Linked DNA regions of Caenorhabditis elegans. The protein of the gene in region 3 interacts with the protein of the main gene of each other region in a biochemical or structural test. Each region holds a gene or a part of one and is shown on either strand. Other genes may lie near its edges. The genes, in order: let-70, ubc-13, rbx-1 and ubc-22.

The links.
Region 1: of the proteins of rbx-1 (region 3) and let-70, one has a biochemical effect on the other in vitro, tested with the Caenorhabditis elegans proteins (one study listed by BioGRID).
Region 2: of the proteins of rbx-1 (region 3) and ubc-13, one has a biochemical effect on the other in vitro, tested with the Caenorhabditis elegans proteins (one study listed by BioGRID).
Region 4: of the proteins of rbx-1 (region 3) and ubc-22, one has a biochemical effect on the other in vitro, tested with the Caenorhabditis elegans proteins (one study listed by BioGRID).

What each region holds. Positions count from the first base shown.
Region 1 is NC_003282.8:11,077,086-11,083,914, reverse strand, and holds let-70 (Ubiquitin-conjugating enzyme E2 2), read left to right. Parts: upstream 1-1,661; 5' UTR 1,662-1,707; coding exon 1,708-1,731; intron 1,732-1,779; coding exon 1,780-1,953; intron 1,954-2,000; coding exon 2,001-2,106; intron 2,107-2,151; coding exon 2,152-2,245; intron 2,246-2,291; coding exon 2,292-2,337; 3' UTR 2,338-2,829; downstream 2,830-6,829. Other genes in the region: klc-1 (Kinesin light chain), read right to left, coding at 144-180; atg-7 (Ubiquitin-like modifier-activating enzyme ATG7), read left to right, coding at 2,865-2,991, 3,041-3,207, 3,254-3,406, 3,457-3,987, 4,031-4,624, 4,677-4,847, 4,897-5,097; Y5F2A.4 (C2H2-type domain-containing protein), read left to right, coding at 5,339-5,388, 5,437-5,536, 5,592-5,816, 5,868-5,969, 6,015-6,140, 6,824-6,829. UniProt on the Caenorhabditis elegans protein: Catalyzes the covalent attachment of ubiquitin to other proteins. Mediates the selective degradation of short-lived and abnormal proteins. Plays a role in the DNA damage response.
Region 2 is NC_003282.8:2,920,665-2,929,521, forward strand, and holds ubc-13 (Ubiquitin-conjugating enzyme E2 13), read right to left. Parts: upstream 5,028-8,857; 5' UTR 5,027-5,027; coding exon 4,747-5,026; intron 3,708-4,746; coding exon 3,540-3,707; intron 2,367-3,539; coding exon 2,359-2,366; 3' UTR 1,927-2,358; downstream 1-1,926. Other genes in the region: fbxc-45 (F-box C protein), read right to left, coding at 497-1,108, 1,317-1,452, 1,498-1,565; manf-1 (Mesencephalic astrocyte-derived neurotrophic factor homolog), read right to left, coding at 7,047-7,213, 7,281-7,425, 7,498-7,622, 7,685-7,754.
Region 3 is NC_003283.11:9,687,112-9,693,718, forward strand, and holds rbx-1 (RING-box protein 1), read right to left. Parts: upstream 3,412-6,607; 5' UTR 3,410-3,411; coding exon 3,335-3,409; intron 3,285-3,334; coding exon 3,078-3,284; intron 2,893-3,077; coding exon 2,842-2,892; 3' UTR 2,575-2,841; downstream 1-2,574. Other genes in the region: ztf-9 (C2H2-type domain-containing protein), read right to left, coding at 4,037-4,440, 4,489-4,720, 4,779-4,866, 4,916-5,025; ZK287.7 (RNA_ligase domain-containing protein), read left to right, coding at 5,958-6,487, 6,544-6,607. UniProt on the Caenorhabditis elegans protein: Component of the SCF (SKP1-CUL1-F-box protein) E3 ubiquitin ligase complex, which mediates the ubiquitination and subsequent proteasomal degradation of target proteins.
Region 4 is NC_003284.9:8,865,151-8,872,583, forward strand, and holds ubc-22 (UBiquitin Conjugating enzyme), read right to left. Parts: upstream 4,013-7,433; 5' UTR 3,981-4,012; coding exon 3,885-3,980; intron 3,752-3,884; coding exon 3,656-3,751; intron 3,610-3,655; coding exon 3,533-3,609; intron 3,483-3,532; coding exon 3,404-3,482; intron 2,966-3,403; coding exon 2,858-2,965; intron 2,761-2,857; coding exon 2,668-2,760; 3' UTR 2,453-2,667; downstream 1-2,452. Other genes in the region: ins-9 (INSulin related), read right to left, coding at 1,088-1,176, 1,223-1,490; ubc-21 (Ubiquitin-conjugating enzyme E2 21), read left to right, coding at 4,475-4,636, 5,759-5,854, 5,900-5,982, 6,023-6,149, 6,450-6,554, 6,608-6,679.

The DNA.
Region 1 (6,829 bases), on a different chromosome or scaffold from region 3:
GGTAGCACGAGATCCAGCAGCCTGACAATCGGCGGGTTTTCGAACAACTGTTTTCAAGTTTGCACAACAATTTCTCGTAATTTAATGTGAATTTTCGATTATTTTAATGTTTTCTAAAAAATTTTTGTTGTTTTTATTAATACCTTCAACGTAATATGGGATAGACAAGCAGTATGCCATTTAAAAATATTTTTTGATTGGAAGAGCTTTCCATATCTCTTGGCGCCATTTCGAACGCGGCAAAATACAGATTGTGAAACAAGGGCGGTCCATCATTCTTACTCATTTTCTTCTAATTTCTTCAGTTTCTTTTCAGTTCGTTTGCGATGTTCCTTATTTTTCTTCCTGCTCCAACTTCTGTAGTTCGTTCTGTTGTACTTGTTTCCAATTTTTTAAAGGTTTTCCTCGCTGAATTCGTATTTTAAAAATAACTTCAACTCCACATGTGAGTAGTGATTAGGGAATTTAGTGCTCGATCAATAATTTGAACAACATTTTTGCAAAACTTATTTCTCAAAATTAAAGTCACTTCCGAAGTATGATTTGGCCTATTTTATACCTCTTTGTTTTCGTTGTCCCACGTGACTCATATAGCACGAAATAAGAAAACACACTCAAGTTCATTCGTCCTAAAATTTTATAAATTCCGCGTTCAAATTTCAGTCATCTAGTAACCATCAGAAAAGTGCAAGTTCACTCACGTCCACACTGAATTGAATCAGTGGAATCACATGATCAACTGCTTCTCTCACTCTCTCGCTTTGTCATTAGATATCTCTACCTCTCTGCGTTTCGTGTCTAAGTGCTTATAGTTTCACTTCTCTCCGCTTTCAATCCCCATTGCGATGCGACTGCAGCATTGCAGTGAGTGTGATGGTCGTCTCAAGACCCATGGCGCTGCGTATCGATCGTTGCCTCGTACCCTCTTACGTTTCCTGTGTTATTTCTGTCTCTGTCGTTCTGACACTTCAGCGCTCACCCCGTCGCTCATTTTCACTCACAGACAGCACACATTCTCACTCACTCGCAGCCTATGGCCATTTCTTCCTTCCTCACCATCTCGTGAGGCGACAAGTCGCGTGTCTTTAGTCGATTTCAGAGTGATTATCTGGAAATCATTTGTTTCAATCAGAAAATAATACGTACATGCCGAATAGTTTTTTAAAAAACTAACCAGACAATTTGTGATACGTCTTGAATTTTAATTTTTGCCCAGTCTCGATTCATTGTGAAGAAAATTTTACAAGATTTGAATCGCTTGCTTTTTGTGCGTAATATTCCAGTCCATTTCTTTTAAGCGTTAAAATTTTTTTCGAGTGTCACTGGCTTGTAGCCGTAAAAATGTGTCATATTTGTCATCATTTCTCATCGTTAGTTATTTTATTAGGAAATTTCCGAAATTTATGTTATTTTGGTTTTCAAATTTATATCTGTTCTATTTTTCCTCATTTTTCGCTTTCTAGAATGTTCCACTAGTTTCGAAATGTGACGTAACAGTTCACCACGAAGGGCAAACTGAGTACTTTGTACCGCCTCTAAATATCGATTTTTCGCCGCGCCGCGCCGTACTCTTTATGTTATTTCATGCGAAAATCCTCACTTTCAATTTTTCCCTATAGCAGAAGCTCAATTTCACCGTATTTATCGAAATTTATTTTCAGAGTACTCCGGGTGTAGCCGGGTCAATCAGCAAATCAGAACACCAACATGGCTCTCAAAAGAATCCAGAAGGTAAGGTTTCAACACTTAACAACAATAAAATTATTATGTACGTTTCAGGAACTCCAAGATCTCGGCCGTGATCCACCCGCACAATGCTCCGCTGGACCAGTTGGTGATGATTTGTTCCATTGGCAAGCTACGATTATGGGCCCACCAGAGTCTCCCTATCAGGGAGGTGTCTTCTTCCTCACTATCCACTTCCCAACAGACTATCCATTCAAACCACCAAAGGTATTGATCGAAATTGGAAAAAAATAAATTTAATTTGTTTTCTTCAGGTTGCCTTCACCACTCGAATTTATCATCCGAACATCAATTCAAACGGAAGCATCTGCCTTGACATTCTCCGTTCGCAGTGGTCGCCGGCTCTGACCATTTCGAAAGGTTGATATTATCATTATTGTTCGCGTTCTAACTTTTAATTTTCAGTTCTGCTTTCGATCTGCTCGCTGCTCTGTGATCCAAATCCGGATGATCCACTTGTGCCAGAGATTGCACGCATCTACAAGACGGATCGTGAAAGGTGAATTTAGATTTTCTTTTAACTACTAAAAATAATCGATTTTCAGGTACAATCAATTGGCGAGAGAATGGACGCAAAAGTACGCTATGTGAGGAGGCTAACACCATTCATACAAGAACGCAGCCAAACCAATCAATAAACCATGTGTTTCTTTTCCCTCTCTGTGTCTCCCATTCATCTCCAAACCCTTTCCATCTTATTCAATCCACACCAAACCCCGGCGATTCCTCTTTTGTACTATAAATTGTGTTCTCTTTTTATCGATTTTGTTCTCCCCCACACATTATTCTCCTTCAAAAAATACCCACTTTCATATTATTTTCTGTCGTCAGCAAAGCGATGTAAAATATATATGGTCTTTTATATTTCTTCCTTATAATTCAAAAGTAAATCGAACGGTGTAGATTGATCCCCTCAATTCTCTCTCATCCCCTTTAAACTATTTTGTCTCCAAATCTCCCTCCTCCCTTCCTCTGATTTTTCTCGAGAAATTGAAAAAGGATTTCTTCCAAACCACCACACATTCGTTCTTCGTTTATTTCATCTGGCGGTCTGAGAATCCTGAATAAATTACTGAAGAGCGTCTATTATTCTCGACATTGTTTTTCTTTCAGAATCGATGGCCACGTTTGTTCCCTTTGTTACTTGTCTTGATACAGGTTTTTGGAACGAAGTGAACAAGAAAAAGCTCAATGATTGGAAACTCGATGAGACGCCAAAGTGTATCTCAAGTCAATTATCGCTTCGTAAGAATTGCCTATATCCGTATCAGATGATTTTTAATTTAAATTACAGATCAAACCGAAGGTTTTAAATGTCATCTATCCTTAAGTTACGACAGTTTGAGCAGTTTGGAGAGCACAACTGGATTGTCAATGTCCGGTACCCTTCTTCTGTACAATACAATTGAAAGTTTCAAGATGGTTGACAAAAGTGATTTGATAAGAAGTGAAGCAGAAAAGGTAGAATAACTTTCGTATAGTTAATCAAAATCGTCAGCAATTTCAGATCTGGGAATCTATCACAACTCGAAAATGGCTCCAAAATCCTCGTCTTCTGTCGCAATTCTTCATCATCGCTTTTGCTGATTTGAAAAAATTCAAATATTATTATTGGACATGTGTTCCTGCTTTGGTATATCCTAGTGAAATAAAACAAGAGGTTGAAAAATCTTTAAAAGTCTTTGAAGTTCGTAAATTCTTCGGTTTCAGATCACACCACTATCATCTCTCGGAGCCGATCACAAGATCCTGTTCGACTTTTATAGGAAAAACAATTTTCCGATCTTCCTATACTCCAAACAATCTTCAAAAATGCTCGAACTGTCAGAATTGGAAAACAACACAAATCCTGACGAAATATGTGTTGTTGTCGCTGATCCTTCTCCTGTTGCGTATTCTGCAGGATGGATGGTTCGCAACGTTCTTGCCGCAGTGGCACATCTTCATCCTACGTGGAAGCATTGTCATATCATCAGTCTTCGTTCAGCTGACAGTATCGGAATAAAATACACATGGACCTTGCCGAGTGCTGAATGCTCAGCAGATGGAGCTCAGAATGCTGTTCCAAAAGCTGTGGGATGGGAAAGAAATGCAAATGATAAGTTGCAGCCGATTTCAGTAGACTTAAGTAAAGAGTTCGATCCAAAAATATTAATGGAAAGATCTGTGGATCTTAATTTATCATTAATCAAATGGAGATTGCACCCAGATATTCAATTGGAAAGATACTCACAGCTGAAGGTATATATTTAAATTTTAAATTTTATATTTTGTCATATTCCAGGTTCTCATTCTTGGTGCTGGAACGCTTGGATGTAACATTGCCCGTTGTCTTATCGGATGGGGAGTTCGTCACATTTCGTTTCTTGATAATTCAACTGTCAGCTACAATAACCCCGTTCGCCAGAGTCTCTCAGAATTTGAAGATGCACGCCTGGGTCGTGGAAAAGCCGAAACAGCACAAGCTGCTATCCAACGCATTTTCCCATCGATTCAAGCAACTGCTCATCGTCTCACTGTTCCAATGCCTGGACATTCTATCGATGAAAAAGATGTACCAGAGCTGGAAAAAGATATTGCAAAATTGGAGCAACTTGTGAAAGATCATGATGTTGTTTTCCTAGCATTAGATTCAAGGGAAGCTCGCTGGCTTCCAACAGTTTTGGCTAGTAGACATAAGAAGATTGCAATTAGTGTCGCGATTGGATTCGATACCTACGTCATCATTCGGCATGGAATTGGTTCTAGAAGCGAAAGTGTTTCAGATGTTTCATCATCAGATTCCGTACCATACTCTCAGCTTTCTTGCTATTTCTGCAGTGATGTAACTGCTCCAGGAAATTCTACTTTCGATAGAACATTGGACCAACAGTGCACTGTGAGTTTTTGAACTTCCACACCTCTATTTCAAAACGGATGCTTTCTTTCAGGTTGCACGACCAGGAACATCTATGATTGCATCTGGAATTGCCGTTGAACTCTTATCGTCTGTTTTACAATACCCTGATCCACTCAAGACACCAGCCAGCCACGACGATAATACAACAGTCCTTGGAGCTGCTCCACATCAAATTCGCGGTTTTCTGGGAAGATTCCAGCAGGTATAATAATTGTGTTCTATTTGCTTTAACTTCGTTAATTTTATTTTAGATTCTTCCTTCTGTAAAACGATTCGATCAATGTGTTGCTTGTGGAGACGCTATCGCTGCACAGTTTCAGCAAAATGGCTGGAAGTTTGTTCGCGACGTTATGAACTCGCCAGGTCGTCTCGAAGAAGTCACCGGGCTCGACGAGCTTCAGAACTCTGTTAATGCTATTGATATCGATTTTGAGGATGATGAAGATTTCTGAATTGGTCGCCTCAAATTTTTACCTTTTCTGTATAATTGACTGTGCATTGACTGTACTCTGACACAATTTTTCATTCTCGTGATTCTATTTTGCCTCCAAATTTTAATAATACTTGTATCAATAAATTTTGGGTAAATTCTATTAAAACCTTCTACTGAAAGTTAGCATGAAAGCACTAAATGATTTATCTCGTTTTATAAATAAGATGTATTTTCAATAATTTATCTAATTTGAGCCGGCAATGGCACGACACAAATGTCAAGACTGCGGGAAAACGTTTGATTTAAAACGGTAAGAAAAGCCTGAAAATATATTTTAATCTTCTATGATGAATTTCAGATATCTAACAAAACATGAATTACGAATGCATAAAAATGTTGTGAAATCGAAGAATGACAGAAGCGCTTCAGATCCACTGAAATGTAGTATGTGTGATAAAGTATGGAAATAATTCTTCATTAAAAGTTATCCAATAAAATATCCAATAATTTCAGGTATTTCCACGTCTTTCTCATCTTCAGCGTCATCAAATGACACATCTTAATGTCAGAAATTATTCATGTACATTTTGTGAAGAGAAGTTCGTACAAAAATCACATTTAACTCGCCACGTCTCTCGAAAGCATTCGAATGCTCCTGGAGTAGAAGTTGACTGGACAGCGTGTGACAAATGTGGGCAATTATTCAAGACTACTTATGAAATGAGAATTCATCGACAGGTACCTTCTATTCAACACGGATGAAACAAGTTTAAAATACCTACTTTACAGACATATCACGAACTTCACAAATGTAAACAATGCCAAGAAGTAATAGAAGCAGGAAGTGATGGTTTACGGAAACATCATATGCAATGTAGAAAATACTCAAATGTTAGTTACAGGTTTTTTTTTCAAAAAATATTTAAACACTTTCAGGTTTGTGATGAGTGTGGAGCATCTTTTTCTCGGCCTGCAGACTTGGTTTCCCATGAGACTTCTTGTCTTAAAAAGTTCGCATTTGTCTGCAAACCATGTGATTCATACTTTCGACAAAGAGTTCAGGTAATTTCTTAAAGTTGGTAATTTCTTAAAATTTGGGATTTTGTTCATTAAAAATCTAAGATAGTCCTACGTTCCGAATAGCCACAACAGAAAAACGAAAAAAAATGCATTAAATTAATTTAATGCATTGATAAATTACCAAAAAAAGCCATTTGATTTTGGCGAATTTTCAATTTTGGCTAAATAGTTATTTGAATTTTCGTGCTTTTGTCTCGAAATCCGCCAATTTTACCGTACCCAATAAGAAAAAATTTTCATGCAAAACCTTCAGGTAAAAGAAGCTTTTGTATTAAACGAACACATCTTTTTTTTACACAAAAAATGAATATCTTCACATTTGTTGAATTCTTTTGTGAGAATGTTTGTTTCTTGGTAAATTTATGTATTTTAAGAATAAACTGAATGTTTTCATGCATTCCAAATTGTTTCTCTTGAACTTCAAACTTTCAAGAAAAACGGAAAAATACAAATAATAATCCGGAATTGAAAAAATCGAAACGCGGCACGGAAAAATGGGCGGAGTTTCAAGACAAAAACGCGGAAATTCAAATAATGAGGTTTACAAAAATTGAACATTCTCCAAAATCAACTGTATTTTTTCAAACTCAATGCATTTTTTTCGTTTTATTTTGTGTTATTTCTGAATTTGAGTCTATTTTGAATTTTGAAACAATTTATTTCAGCTGGAT
Region 2 (8,857 bases), on a different chromosome or scaffold from region 3:
GTATTTGTGAAATGAGCAAGAAGGAACGGTATCGAAAGGAAGTTTCAAAACTTTCTTTGGTGAAACGGCTTCAGCTCACAAAGTACATCCATGGGCTCTGGTGTGATGGGAAAGACGTGGTTATTGAATCCTTGCAGAGTTGGGCAGAATCGAATATTCAGTGGAACAGAGGATCTACAAGTTTGAGATTTGTGATGCGTGGTTTGGGATTTGTGTACAGAAAGAAGAATCACAACACCATCGTTGACGAAAGGCTAGATATTGTGAAGAACAGAAATATTTATCTGAAAATTAAAGAAGAATTAGATGTGAAGAAGTACTATATTGGATCTTGTGACGAGACATGGGTCTACGCGGGAATGGTCAGTGTTTATGGTTGGCAGCATGGTGATGGAGAAATGTACAAGAAGGCAAGATTAGCTGACATGGAAAACCCCCAATCAGGGCCTCAAAAGGGTAAAAACAAGGGAAGAAGAGGAGTGACAGCAGCAGTTACCGTATCCGTATAGTGACCGTATCGTTGATCCAGAATGAAAATTTGTGGGAATTCATCGCACTCATCTCCAAATATTCCACACAATTCATATTGAAACATCGCAAGATCGTTTCCTTCTGCCAGTAAAGTGAATGCTTTGAATAAATTCGCGACCAAATCGGCATCTTCAGTGATGAAGATACGCTCTGTTTCAATTTCACGGTCTGGGTGGAGCAAAGCGTCAATCAAAATGAGGAAATCGAAAACTTCAACACCTTCAATAGTAAATTCGATCAAAGAGTTGGGTAGTGCTCCGATGTCATGGAAGAGCTCACGAGGAACAATATAAAGCATCAATCCATCGCAAGTTCTCAAGATTTCGTGTCGATTAATCACATCCAGCAAATCCAAATTGTGACCTCCAGAGAGATAAATGAGCAATGGCGTGCTCTTTGGATCGATTAATCGATCGGTAAGCGACGACCAATTCCGTACATATTGAACCATGAACTTCTTGAAGGATTCCGGCAGCTCAGGTACACAGTCTTCATCTGGAAGATTCAACCATTTAACATGGATCTGCGGATGTCGTCCATTGAGTTGCGCTCTCGTCAGAGTGTGTGGGGCTTCGAACTGAAAATGTATTCATTGAAATATCCGTTCTCTAGAATAGTTATCGATTTTAGTGAGAAAAAAACCAAAAAGTTATCATTATTAGATTTAAAATGGCGAAAAATTTTCGATTTGAGAAAAAAAAACGAATTTTTCGTTTTTATTTTCAAAAGAATTTAGTAAAATACTTAAAACCGACACCCTCGTCTAGAATGGCAAAAATTCATACATTGTTCCTAGCACCAAGTTTGTATTTCACTCCATTGACAGAGATTGTACTACGATTGAATTCCAGCTTCTTGATAATCAGAGGTTGCGATTTTTCGATCTTTACAAGAGATGGGCATTGTGCGGCCAGTCGGAATCTGAGAATTATGTATTTAGTTAATTACAGAAACTGTTTGTCTCACCTTTTATTCGCCTCCAAGTGTTTGATAATGCACTGCATGGATAGATAGGTGAGTGGCTTCGAGTCCATGTTTGCAGAAATCTGAATTAAAAATTTTTTATCGGTAATTGCTTCAAATTTCGCAAGAAAAACATGAAAAAACACAGTTAAAATTCGAAAAATCGAAAGAAAAATCAAAAAGCTACAGTTGAACACATCGCGATGAAACCCATGCAACAAGATACTGTGTGTCCCTTTAAATTTACAGTAATATCAGCGTGCATTTTTTCGGCATTTCTCACTTTCGGCAATCGGCGATTCAGGCAGTTTCCAGTTTTTAAAATTTCTATCACAATATCTACTATTTATTCTTCTATTTATTCTTGCATTTTTTCCGGTTGAAAACCATCAGGCTACTGCTGGAAATGCCTTCAAAAATTTCTCAAAAATTCTCAAAAAAAATAACGACTTTATTCAAAAAATCATCAAAATTTCCAAAAGAGAAAAAAAAATCAATTTCGATGGAAGAAGATTTTCTGGAAACTGGGAGAAAAAAAGAAGAATTTAAATTAAATGGACGACGACGGTTTGATGAGGATCGTGAGACAACAGAGACAAAAAAATTTTTTAAAAAATTCAATGGGATGGGGAGGAAATTGTAGAATTTCGAGACAAAAAACCGGGCGGGGACAAAAAAAATCAATATTTAGATATATAGTAGAAGATGGGGAAAATCGAGATTTTTATGCAATTCATACAATTTATTGGAAGTTCGTAAGGGGGCGGGAAAAGGCGGGACAAAGAGCAGGCTGAGAGAATTTCGAATTTTTTTTTGTTTGATGTGATTTTTTGTAGTTGTTCTAGAGGCGAGCTTCGGAGACGATCAGGCTTCTGAAAAAAAATTATTAATTTATTTTTTAAATTGTTAAAAAAAATTTATTAAAATGCATATTTATTGTTGGGTCCCACAGCGAAAACTAGGAAAATCTACTGTTTTCAGAGCCGAAATCGAAAATTCGAAGGGTCGATTTACGCAGCCCGTGTACTCCTCGAGGAGAAGTGGGAATGATTTTTATACAGTTTTTTAACATTAAAACTACCAAAAAAATGGCTCATAAATTCAATTTCCAGCTGAAAACTGCTTTTAAGACACTAAATACTTCGATTTTCACTGAAAAACTGGAATTTAGCGCTAAAGTTGTTATAGTTATGTAAAATTTGTGGAAAAGTCGATGCGAAAACGGTCCAAAATCAATCATTTTAGCGCAATTTTGGAGCAAAAATCGAAAAATCGAACTAGAAACCTCCGAAATTGGCACATGTCGATTTACGCAGCTCGTGTACTCCCCGCGGAGAAGAGGGGTGAAGCACATGGATTTTGAGGCGAAAATTGTTGATGTTGGCCTATTTTTTCCTGATTTGAATCTTTAAATCACCAATTTAGGTCTAAATTATAGTGTTTCTGATAAATTTTTATTTTCGATTTTTTAAAGGTTGAAAAACTAAAAAAAATTCGAAAATAAAAATTTATCAAAAAAGCTATAATTCCGAGCAAAAATTGATGATTTAAACGTTCAAATTAGAAAAAATAGGCCAAAATCAATAATTTTCACCTTAAAACCCGTTTTTTTCACCCCCACTTCTCCTCGGGGAGTACACGAGTTGACGTAAATCGACATGCGCCAATTTCAGGGATTTTTAGTTCGATTTTTCGATTTTGGCTCCATAATTGCGCTAAAAGTATTGTTTTTCGCCGTTTTCGTCGACTTTTCCTGAAATTTTACTTAAATATAGCAAATTTAGCCGTAAATTACAGTGTTTTCCGTGAAAATCGATATTTTTAGTGGCGTAAAAGCAGTTTTCGGCTGGAAATCGGATTTACGAGCCATTTTTTGATAGTTTTAATGTTAAAAAGGTCAAAAACTGTATAAAAATCATTCCAACTTCTCCTCGGGGAGTACACGATCGGCGTAAATCGACATGAGGTCGAATTTTCGATTTTGGCTTCAAAAGAATTGCAAATTTTCATCGATTTCGTGGCGAGACCCTAGATATATTACTGACGAGCATAGTTCATCGTCCATTGTTTTGCAGTCTTAATCGCCTCGGCCTCATTCGTTTTCCATTGCTCGGCGACATCAGTTGCCAGTGGATCTTCCGGATTTGGAGCCGAAAGAAGAGCCTGAATCGACAGAAGAACCGTGCGAATTTGAAGAGCCGGCGACCATTTATCTGAAAAATTGGGCATTTTTTTTCGAGAAATTCATGTGAAAAAGCTCAAAATGAGCAGTTTTTCGAGATAATTCGCATTAAAATAGCCGAAAAATTGAACTTTTCTATGGATAATTTGATTAAAATGCGCAAAAAATGAGATATATCTATCGAAATGCTTTCTTTTGGAGTAATTTTTCGATAAAAATTGGAAAAAATGCGCAAAAATAAAGAAGTTTTCGAAGAAATTACACGAAATTTGTAATTAAAAATCGAATTTTACTATCTCTCCATTGAAATTACTAAAAAATCAGATTTTTCAGCAATTTTAACAAGAAATTCGCTTTAGAATGATTAAAAATAGCTAATTTCGATCATAAATTGAAAATGTCCCTCGAAAACTGGGGGTTCGCCGAAATTTTCGCAATTTTGAATAAAAATTGCCAAAAAAACGCCGTTTTCCGAGATTTTCGATGAAATTTGGTTAAAAATGCGCAAAAATGATACATTTTCGCAGTTTCTTTGAAAAAAATTTCACAAAAAGAGGGTTTTTTAAAATTAAATTTCGAGAAATTCGCATTCGAATGCACCTAAATATATTTATTAGAACAAAAAAAAACACGATTTTTCTCGAAATTTCGTCTATTTTGTCAAAAAACGCTCAAAATAAGCTGTTTTTGATCCATTTTTCCCATTAAAATGCGTAAAAATTCATATTTTTTGGATTATTTTCTCATTATGCGAAAAATGAGCATGAAATTCGGATTTATACGCTCAAAAAGAGCTAAATTTGATTTAAATATTAAAAAATACAAAAAATTCATCTAAACTCGTGAATATTGTTGAAAATGGGCTGTTTTTCGAAAAATTTCAAGTAAAAATATCCAAAAAAGCTAGATTTCTGAATTTTATCAATAAATTTGTGTTAAAACAGTGTAAAAATAGCAAATTTCGATGAAAATTCAGAAAATTCTCTAAAAATAATTGATTAAAACGCTAAAAACCGTTTTTTAAAAAATTTTTTCACTAATTTTTCAAAAAAAGGGGAAAATCTATTCACCCTTGAGAATATCGAGACAAATTCTGCCGAGTTTATCAATATTCGGATGATAGATCTTTGTCATGAATCGAACTTTCGGTGCAGCCATCGGATACTCTTCCGGAAGGAAAAGCTCCAACTTGAAGACACCACCAGCAAATGGAGAATCGTCTGGCCCGGCTATCATGACATGGAAGTATCTGGCGTTGCTCTCGTCTGGATTTGCCGATATTCCGGGAACCGGATCCGCGAGAAGTCGTTGTGTCTCTTTGATGATTCGACGCGGAAGTTGCCCGGCCATTCTGCAAGAAATTTTATTGTGTGTTTTGGGGCTTTTAAGCTGATTTTTCTATTAGAAAAACGGATTTTTGAGTGCAAAATGGTGAAAACTGAATAAAAAAATATATATAAATGTATAAATTTTGGCTGAAATAAAAGAAAAAAGACTAATAATTCAAGGTTTTTTAATTAAAAATCAAAGTTTTTTCTCGAAATATCGGAAAAGGGCCATTTTCCGCAAAAAAAAAGTTAAAATATCTAATTTCCTAGGGGAAACTATGAATTTTTACTTTAAAAAACTGTTTTCCTCGAATTTTCAACGTAAACATCGGCCAAAAATCGATAAAATTGTGTTTTTGGCATTTCCAACCAAAAAAATGCTCGTTTTTAGCGATTTGGAATAATTTTTTTGGAAAAAAAAATCGATTTTGGTGCAAAATAATAGCAAAATTGGATTTTTGTGCAGTTTCCATGGAAAAGTGGAATAAATTTGATGGTTTTTGAGTGATTTTAGAGCTTTTCCCAGCGAAAAACTGTTTTTCTGTTAAAAATTCAACAATTAGACGGATTTTTGAGTGCAAAATGGTGAAAACTGAAGAAAAAAATGTATAAATGTATAAATTTTGGCTGAAATAAAAGAAAAAAGACTAATAATTCAAGGTTTTTTAATTAAAAATCGAAGTTTTTCTCGAAATATCGGAAAAATGCCATTTTTTTTAGTACAAAAAGTTAAAATATCTAATTTTCTGCGGGAAACTATGAATTTTTCAATTAAAAAACTGTTTTCCTCGAGTTTTCAACGTAAACGTCGGCCAAAAATCGATAAAATTGGGTTTTTTGTGATTTCCAACATTAAAAAACGCTCGCTTTTCACGATTTCGAATAATTTTTTTGGAGAAAAAAATCGATTTCGGTGCAAAATAATGGCAAAATTGGATTTTTGTGCAGTTTCCATGGAAAACAGTGATGAAATCGCATATTTTTGCAGAAAACTGACATTTTGGAGTAATTTTAATCAAAAATAAACGCAAAAATGTGTATTTTTGACGTTTTTGGCATTACGAATTCGTTATTTTTGCGGAAAATCGATATTTTCAGCACCAAAATGTTGAAAAAGACGCGTTTTCTACGGGAGCTTTCAGTTTTTCATCTGAAAATATGTAAATTCACCGGTAGTTTGAGTGAAAAAATCAATTCAACAGTGAAATTTCGAAAAAATAGGATTTATGTGCATTTCAGAGTGAAAATTGGCATTTTTGACGTATTTTCCATCAAAAATAATGCCAAAAACTGAATTTTCGACGTTTTGAGCATTTTGAAAACGCTAAATTCGAGAAAATCGATATTTTCAGCAAAAAAACGCTGTAAATTCTCGTTATCCACGCGAAATCTTAATTTTTATACTAAAAATGTATAAATTTAACGGTAATTTAAGTAAAAAATCAATTCCTTTGCGAAATTTTTAGAAAAATTGGATTTCTGTGCATTTCCCAACGAAAACTGTTATGAAATCGCATATTTTTGCGGAAAAATCACATTTTTCGGTAATTTTAGTAGAAAATATCGCCGAAAATTGATTTTTCGGCGTTGAAAAAGCTGAAAATGGGTATTATTTTCCATTTTTACGTATTTTCCATCAATAATAACGTTTCGAAATCGATAAAATTGGTTTTTGGAGGTTTTTAAGGTGAAAATCGATATTTTCAGCCTAAAAATGCCAGTTTTCGACCGTAAATCTTCGAAAATCACATTTTTAAACTGATTTATTTCCTGGAAAACCTAGAAAAAAGGTAAAATAAATTATTAAAAACCGGATTAGAACCGAAAAATTGGCAAACTGAGGGAAAATCAGGGAAAAAAGCTTCATTTGACCAGACCAGTGGGAGGAAGATGATGATGAAACACGAAAAAATTAAGGGGGGGGGGGGAAATCAATAAATAAATTATTATTAATAAAAAATAGATTTCAACAAGTAAAATTGCAATAAAAACACACACGCTAAAAACACGATTATCACATGTAGAACGGCATGAAAAAAAAATCACAGCTCTTCTTTGACATATTTCGGCTTAAGCTCCTCGATGCGCTTGATGAGCTCGGCCTTCTCGGTGCATCCCTTGCACACCTCTCCCCACTCGCCGAGAATGTTTTTCAGCTCTTTCACGCGCATTTTCTTCAAATCGATCGTCTTCCAGTCGAGTGGCTTGTCTGTGAAATTTGGGGATTTATTTATTTTTTTTTTTTGATTAAAAGCGAGATTATGCGCCAAACGAACCGTATTTAAGCTCACAAATCTGAGCATCCTTGCCCTTGAGCTTCTCCAAACAGACTTTTTCCGTTGGCATCGACCAACTGAGCGGCTTGGTGACCTCGTTCATGATGGAAGTGGCCGATTCTGGGAGTGCGCCGATGTAGAAGCACTGAAAATGGATAAAAATTAAAAATTTTAAAGGAAAATTAGATTAAATCATTTAAATCTTTAAATCCCCTACAAATTTGTTCTCCTTGTTGCGAGTGGTCTCACAATGCTCTCTGATCACTTTTCCGATGGCATCTGGCTTGGATTTGTCGCCGGCCGGCACTTTTGCCATCACATCGTCCAGAACCTTTTTGCAGACTGAAAATTTCGCGATTTTTTATTAGATAATTAAGTAATTAAGCTTTCTCAAATTTACAAACCTTCACATTGTGGAGCAGCAGCCGAGGCGACGACAATCACCAGGGAGATGAGAAGGACGAGTCGGCTCATCTGCTGGAAAAAACAGGGATTATTACGGGGTTTTCAGGGCTCTGAGAGTGTAAATAGCGGGAAAACTGAAAAAAAAAACCAACAAATTATGCAGAAAAATAGAATAAAAAGACAAAAGAAAGCGGAAAAAACGGAGAGAAAATAGAGAAAAAGCGAACGCAATTCGAGAAAATAAGCTGACGTGTTTGCGCGCACCGCGGGCGCGTCAGCACTCTCCTTGGCGCGTTTCTCGATGTGGACGTCAGCGTTAACGTTGACTTTTGGAATTAATTTTGTAATTTATTCGGGCTGATTCGCAGTGAAAAACGATATTTTCCATTGAGAAAACCTCAAAAATAGTTAGAAAATCGTATTTTCCAACTAAAATTAGCATTAAAGATCGCGGGAAACATGAAAATTTGCATAAAACTTCACTTTTTACAGGTTCGCAAAATTTAAAATAAAAATGTTTGAAAATCAGATTTTTTAAAAAATCTTTTCTTGGTCCAGAACGAAATTCAGGTCTCGCGTGGAAGGGATTTTAAAGTCGATTTGGCGGTTCCCGTGGAGATCGGGTCATGGTGCATCGATCAAAATACTTTCTTCTTGTATTATAGGTTTTGTACCATTTTCAGGGGGTTTTCCAGAATTTCCAGAACCAAAAAATCCAAGAATTACAAGAAAATTCGATTTGAAAACACTAAAAAGAAGAAAAAGCGATTTCGAATTCAAAACTACTACTGTAGAGGGGTACTGTAGTCTGAAAATTTGCACAGTTCGCGTTGGGAACACAATATATTCTATTAATAGGCACATCTTGATAAAAACCTGGAATTTTTACGGTTAAAACTAAGTTTTTCAACAGAACATATTCGTGAACTTTCTTGATAAACTCGGTTCTATTTACGTGAAATTTTTAGTTTTTAACAAATTCCACATTTTTATTATATTTAATGCCACGTCATCGCAAAACTAATATCGGAACATTGAGGTTAGTTTAACAGTTTTTTTTCAGTCGAAGAAAAGTTGTGAGTTTTTTTTCTAAAAACATTGTATTCTTTTTTGCTGATATGAGGGTTCTCGAAAAGTTGGTGGCCGAGTTTTCTTCTGCGCGGCCGCGAATA
Region 3 (6,607 bases):
GGGATAAACAGGTGGATGAGCTCAATTTGAAACTTTAGATAAACGAAGCAGATATTTCCTTTTTTTGTTGTAATAGTAGAGGGATCAAGTGAACAGTTGACGTTTAAAACAAAAAATAACTGTAATTGGTCCTGTTGAGAAAGCGGGAAGTCGAAGTATTACTGGTATTTATCCAAAATGGTTTTAAAAATAAAAGGAACGAATGTTATTGCTATTACATGACCAGTATTTTACAATCTGAAAAGTTTTTCAATGATCTAAGATTTCATAGTTTTTGCAGCGTTCTCGCTAAATCTTTTCTGAATTTTAGAGAATAAATACTTGTAGATCAAACCAAACAATTTGACCCAAAATTGGGATGTTGGATCAATGCTTGATAAATTTTTGGTTTAACGTTTTGGGGTGATAAAACTCAGAAGAACTTTACTGGCTTGATTATTTGACTTTTTCACAATGTTCATATAATTTCATCAAATTAAATAAATCAGAAAATCTTACCAAATACACCATTGTCAATTCTATGCTGCCCACGCAGTGAACGATCCTGGGAAGGGGGTGGATGTACTTTTACATGGAATAGTTGACCAAAGTTATTCGATATTCTAGAAGCGTAGGCGGAAGTTGTGACGGGTTTGTCAATCGGAAAAATATTTCGGTTAAATAAAATTTAAAGAACTAAGAGCAATAATTGTTTTATCAGTATGTTTCATAATTTAAAACTCATCTTGAAACTTCTTATTTTAACTACCAAATTCTTGGGCAGATATAATTTTAAAACTATTCTGCAGAATGAAACACGAACATTTTAACACATATCTGCCACAAACTGAAACTTGTAATCTAAAAACCTAATAAATTGTTTTGAAACGAATTTATCCGGTTGTTTCGTTAGTGATTAAAAAAAACAATGCGCTCTGAAAATTTGAAAGTCATAAAAGCAGGCTTCAAGCCTCACTCATGTTTAAAGACAAAAGAGGAGAGCCTGTGTCGATTTATAAGTAACAATTTCCTTTAAAATTGAGAGACTCACAAGAGGCGTGAAAGTAATAGCAACAACAAAAGTTTATGATTTAACTATTTAGACAAAAACTTTAGAATTCGAGCACCGAGTTTTAACAAGCTGATCAGCGTTGGGTATTTTAATCATCCAGTATCATAAATGTGAAAATATTTATATCTTCCATTTCACCTCAATTGATATTTGATATGCGATTTTGCAGATATAATAGATTTTTAAATAATAAGGATATTTTACCAACCTGTAAGGAGTGAGCAATGTTCACTAAAAATTGAAATCCAAGGACTAGAATCATCTTTGAATCATTGCCAGATCGAATTTGGCTTCCTGGAAATGAAAGAAAATAAAAAAGAAACTGAGATTTTGCAACAAAAACGAATGGATAAGTGGCTTCAATTGAAATTCAGCGGATTCCATCAAAAAGTTGTTCAATAAAAATCGGGTCTACCTGCAGCTCCACCTATTCTTTTTTCTCTCAAACTCTTGTTTTCTACTGCTGCCTTGTGTCTTACATTCCCACACTACAATACAGATTCGGACGGTTCGGATATAAAAAATGGGATTTCCAAATCGGGGAGTGGATCGAGGAACACGTTCAACAAACATACACTGTATTGGGTAGGGGAGTCGGTTTGCTTGTTCCGACATGAGAATCTCGAGTTACAACTCGCAAAACCAATTAAATCTTCTCGCAGACAGTAACTGATCCCCGTGGTGTAAATTTTGACCTATTGGTGTTTGATCTGATCACTTCGATGATAACAGAAAATATATAAATATGTAGCTAAGTTGGAGAGTACGGTAGGTTACGGTGTGATCGCGGTGAGATATCAGGTGATTATAAACTATATAGTTTAAGTAAGCCCAAAGCCCAATAGCGGCCTGAATATACCTCGTTTTTAAAGAAACGTTTTAAGTTACTTCAGAATGAAAAAAAAACAGTCTAGAAGTATTGGGAATTAAATTTTCGAGTGGCAGTTATATTAAAAAAAATAAACCGATGTGTATAATTTTCATTGAGTTTTGCCCTACTTTGTGAACTTCAACACTTCTAAATATGTATGAACAATTTTGTGCAATTTGGCATTCGGAGGAACTACTGTATCTGAAATCGTGGCAGGACCCAGCCAAGAGAAGTAGTGTGCGCCTTTAAAGTGATACTTCACTTTTCATGAAGTTAAGAATATCCGCAATTTAGCAACGTCGATTATTGAACAATAAACGTTTGTAGACAGTTTTAAAAGCAGAAAATTATCTTGGTCTATATTAATGAGAGAACTCTACAAAAATCAGTATCCAAAATTTAAAAAAAACTTTGGCACAGAAACGAACAAGCAATCGTAATAATCAATTATTACGGAAAGGAATACGAAGAAGCGGCGAGAAATGTGCTGCAATTCGGTTTTGAACGTTTTAGCCGAATTGCAAATAAATTACGCGAGACGAGACCTCCTCCTTTTGCTCCGGCGGCTTGAACGGTGCCCGCAACCTGAACCTAAACAGCCTAAGCACATAAACGGCACGAGAATTGTCTCGTTGAGAATTATGAGACCAGAGGACACAGTTCATATTTATATTTTTAGCGGAGAAAAATTAAATATTCAAGCGAGGAAGGATGATTTTAGAAGGTCAGAAGGGATTGGAGATTTGAATAAACAAATGAAAAGTGTCAGATCACATAGAGACTAACACGTCTGGATTTTAATGTGCTTTTTTTTGGGACGAATACATATTCACAAAAGGAAATAGAAGAAAAATCAGTGAATACAAGTAAAAAAGTGTGAAGAAACTGCCCGGGCGGTTGGCAGAAGAATGAAGATCGATTAGTGTCCGTACTTTTGGAATTCCCACTCACGATTGTCCAATGGGCATACCTGAAAAGATAGAATTAGAAAATGTGTAAGCTTTTTGAAATGCTAGTTACGAGTACTTAGTAATTGAAAAAAATTAAATTTTCAAAAGTTGTTTAACAAAAATGCATGCGGCAGGCTTCTGTTCCGCTTTGACATTTGAATAAATATCATTTTTTCAAAAATAAGCACGTTTAAAAGCAACCTACCTGTCGTGTCTTCAGCCAACGAGAAATGCAATGGAAGTGGAAAGCGTGATTACAGTTTCCCCATGCAACGGTACACTCATCCTTGAGCCCGGCTGCTTGATTCGCTTGGCACTCGATGCACAGATCCATGATGTGATTGCGGCAAATAGCGCAGTTGTCGACCTGAATGTCCCAGGCCCAAAGTGCGACGGCACTCCATTTCTTGACCTTAAATTGCACTATGTTTGTTAAAGCATGTAACATTGTATCTGTGTTACCTCGAAACGCTTCTTAACTGTCTGATTTGTGGCCTCCTCGACCTCCATAGCTGTGCTGTCGCTTGCTTGGGCCATTTCTGGAAAAAATACAAATGAGAATAACAGTAATCATTTCAAAATAAGAGCGCAAAAGTAGCATTGATGATATAATGAAATACTTAATATTGAACATGTTTATGCATACTATAATACTATAAGCCTAAACTAAATAGAGGATATGATTGATAAAATTGTTGTATCAGATTTTATGAAAAATTGTACCCTAGAACAAGTGATTCACGAACCTAATACAACATTGTTGTACAAAGCCGCCGATAGAAAATGAGGAAACATGAAGGACTTGACATTATTGCTAATATGTATTGAAAAAGGAGATACGCTGTTGTAAAATAAATAAAATGAAATCAGACTGAGCAACACTGCCGAAATTCTTTCGAAAGAATCATCAAAAACGCTTGTCTGCACACACCAGACGCTACGCGCATTTGCGTACACCGTACTCACCTATTTTCTGTCTTCACGCTTTCGCTTTCTTTTTAAAATTTACTCGTCGCGTCTTATTTCTTGCCGAAACGAACAAAGAAGAACAGGTTAAAAAGAAAAATTGTATTTAACAAAAATAAACCGTATCAGTTAGTATTTTAACAGTAATTCTAACAATTGGGACGATGAGAAAACAACTTTTAAATCGTTTCAAGATATTTATTCTGGCAAATCCGTGTATCCAATTCTCTTTTTCTTTCGCTCCGGAAAACATTTTTCAGTAATTTCTTTCAGCTTGTTTCCTAGATTTTTTCGATAGTCAATAACCATGTCGCAGTCGATGGTTCCGTCGGGTCTCTCGTGATGGCTTTTTATGTGCTTGATCACATCAGATTTTGCAATTGTCTGCCATTTTCTGTGACAGATTCCGCACTCGTAGAGCTCATATTTTCCGTGACGCGTATTTGCATGATACACCATGCTTGATCTTTGTTTGGAAACAACGTCTCCACAAAGAGAACATTGAATTTGTTGCTTCGGCTTGATCGGACCACCGCCATCAGATGCTCCCTCGAATGAAGGACCGGCTCCACGTTCTTCTTCGTGACGTGCCAGAGTTTCGTCTGAATTAAATCCAAATGAGTGGGAATCATTATTATGTGTAAGTTTACCTAGAAAGGCATGATAAGCATTATCTACGAAGACAACAGGAGAAGATGACTGAATAGGTGTGCCAGTTGCTTCTGAGTTTTCGACTTTGACTCTGTTCTCCACTGTGCTTGACACCGCATCGCTGATTTTCCCTTCAATCCGCATAGATCGACTCATTGCAATGCACCGTTCGAGCTTTTGGGTCAGTTCCTTCTTTTTCATACTCAACTCCGGTGTGTAGCGATATTTTATCTGCAATTTAAATTATTGTTGAATTTTTTTTCTGCGTCTCTCAACATTGGAGACTTACAGAAAATTCGGTGAGTCCATGATCATTCATACAGTGACTGACAAGGGCGAATTCCGTTGGAAACTTAGCGTACTTACATTTTTCGCATCTAAAATAGTAAAGCTACGTTCACCACATATTAAAAGTTAAAGACTTACTCATATGGGCATATGTTAAGATGATCACTAGCAATGTGTGCTTCGAGATCTTCCAGTGTGTTGTAGGCCTCAGTTTGAACGCAATCTAGACATCCCAGTAGTCGGTTCATTTTTTGAATGTAATAAATATATTCTGCAAATTTAGTAATATAGATTTAGAAGCGAACGGTTAACAAAATGTGTTCGAAATCAACTGAAGACGCGTGGAAAAAGGAAAAGAATGGTGAGAAGAAGAAGGAAGGAAAATGGAGAGAAGGGGGTGGTTTTGTGTGTGTGAGGAGGAGAAGAAGGCCGGGCGGGCAATGGCCAGTCTCTTCCTCCTTTCTCCTTCCTTTCTTCTCCTCTTTCTTCTTTTTTCTTCTTCTCATCGCTCGGTTCGCGCTACATTGAAACGGAGAGAGAAAGGGAAAGAGAGAGGACAAAAATGCGACGACTCGTCTTCTTCCTATCTCTTTCTCTCTGCTGTGTGTGTGTGTGTGTTTTTGTGGCGATAGGAAAAAAAGAAAAAGGAGCGGGATGGGCGGAAGAAAAGTGGGAAAAACTGTTGGAAAAATGAAAACGTGAGAGAACAGATATGAGTCAGATTTTTGTGAAAAATAATTAATTTTGAGATAAAAAGTTGATGGTACAAATACCATGACCATGCATGGCAGTCTCTTTTTTGTTGAAATTTTTGTTTAGAAAACTTATTTAAAACCAATTCTTAAGGAATATGCATTTTTTTTAAACACGAAATTCGCTTTAAACAGAGTACTTCCATTGGAAAATGTAAGGGAAATAAACGATAAAGCAGCCGAAGCTACCATAAACTTTTTTGCGCATCGAGACCAGTCCAAATCAATCCATGCGCCTTTAAGAAAGTATGCCAAAATCTTGTAAAATTAAGATACCATTTTTTCCTAGCAAGAATTTCTCGCTTTCTGATAATTAATTTGGTAAAAAATTCTAAAGCTTATCTGAAACCTTTCGTCTTATAATTTTACAGACTCGGTTTATATTTTATTTTGATAATTAAAAAATAATCAAGATTTTTCAGAGAAAAATGAACACACTGCGACGAATATCGACATGTCGATTCACAAGTAATACAGCGTCTTCAACTTCTTTGGAGTCTGCACCGGCTCCACTAAATCCAAAAGTTCAGAAAGCTCTGACTCCTGCCACGTTTTCAAATCCCAATCAGCTGGCTCGATACCTATCGAAAAAGGTTTTGGCTCACGCTCCAGGTCGATTTGTAGTGTTGGAAAAGCCATATGGATTGTCATGTGTTGGACAACTTCAAGAAAATGGTGGAGTATTTGGGAATAGTGTTCGAGATGAGAGAAAAACTGAAAAATGGGCTGGTACAATCAAAGCAAGGACTCAAGAACAAATGGGAGTAACAATTTCCGATTGTATCAAAGATTTGAGAAAGTTGCTCCGTGAGCCTCAGCTCAGTTTCTGTACAGGCTTAAAACGATACTTATCTGGTGCAATTGTTCTTCCATGTAATGAAAAGGATTCCAATATTCTGAAAGAATGTATCAGAAGCACTTCTTCAAATGTCGAACCCCCTTTTATGTATAATGCCTTGTAAGTTTTATCAATTTCTAAAGTTTAATTTTAGTATTTATTATTTTAAAGTTCAGAGCAATCACAATTGGAAGACCTGAAAAGAGCAGTGGAGTCATAACTGGATTTGCCACGTTTCGG
Region 4 (7,433 bases), on a different chromosome or scaffold from region 3:
AAAATGAGATCAAGCAAAACAATTTAAAAGTGTAACTTTAAAAAAAACAATAGAGAATAACTTTATTTAAACAACCTACTCTACGTACTAATAGGAAATCTACGGTAAATAAAAAAAAATCGTTGTGGTTTTTCTACAACTCTCTTAAATTACTAGTATGCACTTCTAGTTTTAAAGCTGAAAAAATCTTCTAGTTTGTGATCTTACGTCTCAATAGATTTTCTTCGCGATCTTGGAAAAAGTACATTCATTCATATAATGTGTGGTTTTGTCTAACTTTAGAAAAAAGTATTTTCTTACCGATGTTTCATTTTATAGAAACTATGTTCGTAAGCTCCAAAAAAGGATAGATGGACTTTTAGCGAGTGGGTATAAGATTATTGAATATTTACGTTTTTTGACCATGTGAATTACATACTCAGTATCAAAACAACAATTATTCGAAAATGTTGCGCATACGGTACCTATTCGTTTCAAGTTTTGATCAGAACAAAAATGAGTTGTATTTGGAGAGTTTAAAAGGGCATCTTCAAAAAGTACATGAGAAGAAATCAACCAGAATGACTGTATTAAAAAAACAAACCCTACAGTTACTGGGGTCATGAAATCTGAAAAGAGCCTGTTTGTGCAGAATTCTCTATTTTCATAGTGAGCAAATAACGCTAAAAAAATAACAGTACTATTTGGGTAAGTTTGACCATTAAGCCACTTAATCAAACACTAATAGTTTGAAAATGATTGGCTATGCATCAAAATTAGTATTAGGTAGTAGGCTGTCAACTGTCAGATGGCTCGTAGGGACAAGTTGTTCCAAAAACATGATCCCAGGTTTTTCGAACATACTAAAACGTTATTTTTTCATTAGTTACAGTAGACTTACGTTAAAAATTTTTCAGTATTTTTAATCAGAAAGCATATCAATAAAATATCAGTATAAATTATTTAACCTGAACCGAAAATGTTTATTTTAAAAATAAGTTTGCGTATGTTTTATGATTTGAAAAAATAAATATAAAGAAAATGGTGAATAAGAAAGAAAGACATATTTATAGAAGATCCAATTGAGAAGACGATTGTTGGTTCCTGGTTACAATTTGTCGGCACAGCATGCTTTCCTGATTTCAACGAAAGTACATTGGTTTCCACAGCACAGCTTAGAGAGATCCTGTTCCGTACCTAAAAATATTTATCGATTTTGATTTTAGGAACAAACGATACTTACCCGGTTCACATGGCCCGTTGCACGCTGATAGCACATCAGTGTAGAGTTTTCTTCCACAGCGGTAGATTTTTTCGGTTTCCAAGGTTCTTCTCGCCCGATTTCCATGGTGATGGTGGTGGTGATGATGATACTGACGGTGGAGGATTTCTTCGCTCCATTGAGACAAATCAAATGGATTTAAGAATCCATTTTCGTTGTTTCCAGATACTTGAGAAAGGTGTGCCATTTGAAGTCCAATGACAAGAAAGACAATCAAAGTGACGATCATCGTTTCACTCCTCGAATTATTTGAGCCAGGATATTGTAACTATCAGAATTCACACTTTTATAGTAACAACATTTGGGGCGGGACATTTTTTTGAAATTTCAAATGTTTTCTGTATTCGTTAAAAATAGCAATTTTTCTCATCGAGAGACTACAAGTCAGAAAGATTCAATGTATAATGTAATCGTGGGGTTTAAGAGATTTTGACTAAATAATTGTAACTTTTTTTCAAAAAATGAACTTTTTAACTTTGCACTTTAAAAAACAACATGTTACGTGTGAGTGTTACATCAGAGAAGTAACAAAGTGGATAAAAGTGCATAGAAAAAAAAGACTTTTCAAAACAAAATCACCAACTTAATGATGAGGCGTTTAAATGCAAAGGGCTTTATCAGTTAAAAGAAAGTTATTGGTAATAAGGGTAGTGAATCTGGGAATTTTAATGTCAAATAGTAAGCACGGGAATCAGTGACCACGTTTAACTCCTGAAGATCAGAGCTGTGCGGTAAATGAATTTTTGGCACTCGACAATTACCAGAGTTGGCAAGTGCAAAAGTTTGGTCAGCTTCAGCTGTCGCCAAAAATGAAAGTTCGAAAACTGTTCGGCAAACTGCAATCCGGAACTTTAGGATGCTTATATTATATTAGAGTGTTTTTTTTTTGGGAAAACATAGTTATTTTTGCATACAGTGCATCTAGCAAGCGGTAATATCTTATTTAATAGCCCTATTCTGGCACTTTTCGAATCTGTCGAGATTGTTAATTTAAAGTCTCATACTGTATCTAGACTCTAAAACTGATAAATCAGCAAAAACTTCAATTATGATTTCAAAATTCACTTCACTTAAAAAATGTATTCAGCGATTAGTATTTTTCGATATATAGATTTTTATTCAGCAATTGTTTTACCTGATTTAATTAATGAGAAAACGTCTTCGCGTAAGTTGTTTTACTTCATTAGTAAGATTAGAATTCATCGACGTAATTTATCACTCAGAATTCAGAACAAGCACATAAGCAAATAAAGTACTACGACAAAACTCAACATAATTACCAGCACACATTTGGCCTTTGAGCTACAACTGTTTGAATGGAGTATTTAAAAAATTATTGACAATATACAATAAACATCAATAAAATATTGAATATGGTATAAAAAAGACAAATTGGTACAAAACGTTTATTCTTGTGCCTGCTCGTCGCCTTCCAAAAGTTGTTCAGCTGCATCTGCTAGATTCCAGTCACTACCACCCAGAGCAAGAATTGATTCCAGCTAAAAACAGTATTTAAATAATGTGTTGGTCATTCCATGCATGAGCTCAAATTACTTATAAAAATTAAAAAAAATTAAACATTGTTTGATTTCTTACTCTAGAAAATCCCATTTCAATCAGAGAATCGACTTTTTTCTTCTGCCAGTCATCGTCTGGGAGCGGGCGTCCTCCAGCAAATTCTGTTGTCCAAAATCTTGCAGTTTTCTGAAAATTCGAAATATTAACAATTTACATAAGTTGTGAATGTGTTGATGTTCAGTATGTGGGCTTCAAATTCTCAACTTTTTTCAAAAATTTAGACATGAGATGCCAAATATTTTGATGTCACGTTACTTTTTCATTTCGACAAATAATTGATTGGAAAATCAGGAATGTTGTGTGCTTTAATTGCACAGACTTTTTTTTAAATTAAAATTGAAAGGTGCCCAGTTGAAAAATATACTGAGGAATCAAATGTCGAATAGATTAAACTATGGAAGAAAAAATTTCAATAAATTTCTGCAGCCTTCAAATATCATGTAAAATCCTGGAAACCTAACACTATTTGCAAATCTAAAAACCATCTAAAGTGAAACAGTTTTAATAGTCAAATGCTTAAGTTTTTAGAAAGAAAATGCCACGTTGTTTACATTTAAAACTAACATAGAACATGACCTCCTCGTCTACCTCGATTGATCGAAATAAATCTTCAATATAAGACAGTGCCTCCGAAACATTGAGTCTTAAAAGAAATAAAGAACAAAAATTGCAGTTAATAAAATGACAGCGTACCGTGAGTAATTTTCGATGTGAACTTGCCCAGTGCTTGGCTCTACCGCACAGTTCCAAATGAGAGTTTGGAACTTGATCTGGAATAAAAATGAAAGGGGTATACATATTTGTAATTTGACATACTTGTGGGAGCGCATTAGGATAGTTGTCTGGGAATGTGAGGTCCACCTCAAATACACCTGTCTCATAAGGAGTGTCAGCGGGTCCAGCGATGTGAAACTGACAATGGAAACAAAGTTGGATATTATTTAAGTTTTTCACATCTTTTAAAACTTAAAAAAAAAAACTGATTTAGTGATTCACATTTAAATACTTTAAAAAGCGAGTTCTCATAGTTTTCTGTCGAATATACCGTTATTTTTTTATCCTCTTCGTTCACCATCTCTATAATGTACAATTGTTGAGCAATTTCCATATCGTCAAGAAACCTTTTTTGGTTTTCATTCATTGCTCGATGTTTTTGTTGCCACAATTCTGAAAATATCACTGTCGCTCAAGATATTTTCTGTCATTGCATTCGAATCAACTGGATATGTGCACAAAAACCGACAAAAGTTTTGAATTAATGAGGGTATCGATGTGAAAACAAAAATAGTTGGAGTGGCAAACAAGAGAAAAAAAAAGAAAACTAGCCCTTTTTTTTCATCTTTCGTCTCTTCCCACTCTTTCCACAGAATTCTTGGTGTCGCGTGTGCAAGATAAAAAAGACTTGAATTTGGCGGGTGAAATGACTAATAGTAAGAGGGGAAAAAGAAAGAAGGAGATGTAAGGAAAAAAGAAGAATGTGCACCAAGATATGGGCAACGACACTCCGCCTCCAATGCACGTGTTATAGTAGAATGCAAATGAGCTTTTTTTCGTCCTTTTTTGAGTTTAAGTGGACCTTGAAAAACACTATGTACGATTAAGTGCCAATGAGATTTTTTATTACATTTTTCAAATATGAGCGTATCGAAATTGAATAAAATGCAATTTTCAGATAAAATGTCAAATCTCGCATTGGCACGGGTCACACGGAAGTGTAAAGAGGTGGCAAATGCTTCTGATATCACGGAAGCGGGAATTCATGTCGAAATAAAGGAGAACAATTTAATGGATATCAAAGTAAGAGAAACAGAACCCGAAAAGCACACATTTTAAGCATAAAATAAGTTTTAGGCGTGGCGCCCAATGTCATTCACTATAATCAATAAGTTTCGCTGTTGCGCAAACAGGTGTCTTTTTATTCATGGACCTTTGGAAAGAGGGGGCCCATTGTGAGAGAGGAAAAGCGCGAGACACTCAGACATAGAAAGAAGAATACATGGATTAATGTGGCGCGCGATAGTAGTGAGCAATCAGATTTATAAAGGCCATGATCCTGAGACATTTAGCACTGTGACATTTTGAAAAAAAATAATAAGTGGTATTTGAAATACATCATTTTTAATAAAAATTACCCATTAGAAGTAAATGAGCAGTGCATTCAATGCCAAATTTGTTGATTGTGTATTTGGAAAAAATTAAACGGGTGTTACCTATTCGTAAATATTAAAATTTGTGCACACTTTGTCTTCAAACTGAAAACTTTCAACTAAAAAAAAGTGGTACTTCACAGGAAAAAAAGAATTTAACAAGTTTTTACAACACTTTTGTCCCAAAAATGAAAATAAAAATCTTTTGAGCCTGTCGCCAACTGAACAATTCATAATTTTTAAAACTTGATTTCTTTTCTGAAAAGTGTCACTTGAAACTAGGTATATATAGTGCAGCTGTTTTTATCATTCTGAAGTTATAAAAGTAACATGTTTTCCATTTGAAAAATTTTAAGTGTTTCGTTATTTTTTGGTGATATTGGCGAACTTTTTAGCTGTAAAGAAATTTGCGGAGCCAGTCTTGGTTGTGACTTCTGCTTGCCAAATACTTCTAGAAAAGTTTTTGATTTATCAACTCCTGACCGAACCTCAGAAGAACTACCGTGTATGTGAATAAAACATGTGTAGATTACATACTACTAAAAAGTTTCAATTTAATATGTCCTAAAACGAACGGCATCAAAAACGTTTTTTTCCAGTTTTTATGAAAATATCATTGATGACTTTGCTTCAAAATGTACCCGTTGTTTTATTTAAAAATACATATCACTCCAGACTATGGCCAAATTTTTATTGAATTGCGTCTATCAACTATTCAGAAAATCGTCTAATTAAACATATCTGTATTTACACCAAAACACCATTACTTCAGGGATTCATCAAGGGTCCAGAGGGCACACCTTACGCCGGAGGTACTTTTGAAATAAAAGTCGATATTCCTGAACATTATCCGTTTGAGCCGCCAAAGGTTACCGAAATTATATTTCACATTCGCGCATTTGAGTATATACAGGCAAAATTTGTTACACGAATCTGGCATCCAAACATCAGCTCACAAACTGGAACCATTTGTTTGGACATACTCAAGGATAAATGGTTGGTTTTTACATGTTTCTAGTTAACAAATGGGTTTAAGGACTGCAAGTCTTACACTTCGGACAGTTCTTCTATCACTTCAGGCCATGCTCTGTTCTCCTGAACCATCGGACCCTCAAGATGCAGTGGTTGCCAAACAGTTTATCAATAATTATCCAATGTTTACGGTAGAAATTTTTTTTAATAGAAAATGTTTTTTGAGCTTTGATACAGACATACATAATCTGTAAAGCAAACCGAAATTTGTCACATACACTGATATTCGTTGAACTGGAATAACGGAGTTAACTTTTTAATAACGATATGTAGTTTTTTTAAAAAGTTAGAAAATAATATACTACATACGTCAATGTAAATGGAGTTGAAAAATTAATTTCGAGGTTTCAGATGCAAAATTAAAAGTGAGTTGCTAAAAAAATGCATCCAAGAATCTGGAAAAAACTCATGATTTCAAAATTTCGTTTCAGGCGACCGCTGTCTACTGGACTTCTTACTTCGCAAACTCTAAGAAAGATGTTGAACCTGATTTCAATAGAAAAGTCGGGCGTCTCATAGAGATGGGAATCAGAGAGGTAAAATTTTCAAATGACAAATTTTCTAGGAAGCTTAAGTTTGTAATTTTTAGACTGAAGCAATTGTCTACCTCAGCTGCAACAATTGGAAACTTGAGCAAGCTCTTCAATTTATTTTTGACTAGGAACCACCACATTTTTTGTCCAGATTCATTAAAGAGGTAATAGAATTTGTGGGTATTTTGCTCAATTTTACTAAACCTGTCTCAAAACGATTATATTTCATAAAGAGACTACTTCTCACAGAATTTTCCGAATTTATTTTTTTGTCAAAATTTCGAAATAAATGAGCCAAATTTTGCTAAAATCAAAAATTTCGCCAACTGTTCTCTGTCGTAGCAGCTGGAATATAGTTTTATGAAATTTTCGCCCTCTAATACCTATGTTGGTAGTTTATCTCGCGTGAAATCGTTGTCTGAGACACATTTTAAGACGATTGTTATCCATTTTTTGATCGTTTTTGGATGTTTATTGGTATAAAATGAGAGCGAAATTTCAGATTTTAGCAAAACGTGGCTCATTTGTTACAAAAATTTGAACCGCCATAAAAATGTTTGGAATTTTTTTTAGAAGTGTCAGTATGAATTTTGGCCGTTGTGGGCCTGTTTTAGACGATTTAAGCAAAATACTCACAAACTCTTCTCGCTTTTTAAATCCGTATACACTCTTTCTTATGCTTTTGTTTTTTATGGAAACGTTATTTTTTGCTAGAAAGAAGTTGTTTAACAATTATTCGAGAATCACCACTTTTCTTTTTTTTATGCAGCAATTTTCATCCGGTTTCATTTTTTCATGATCGTAAGTTTTCTATCACCCCGGGTGAACCTTTTATTTAGATCTTTTAGTCAATTTTTTCTGGCTTAAATGCACATTTCCTAG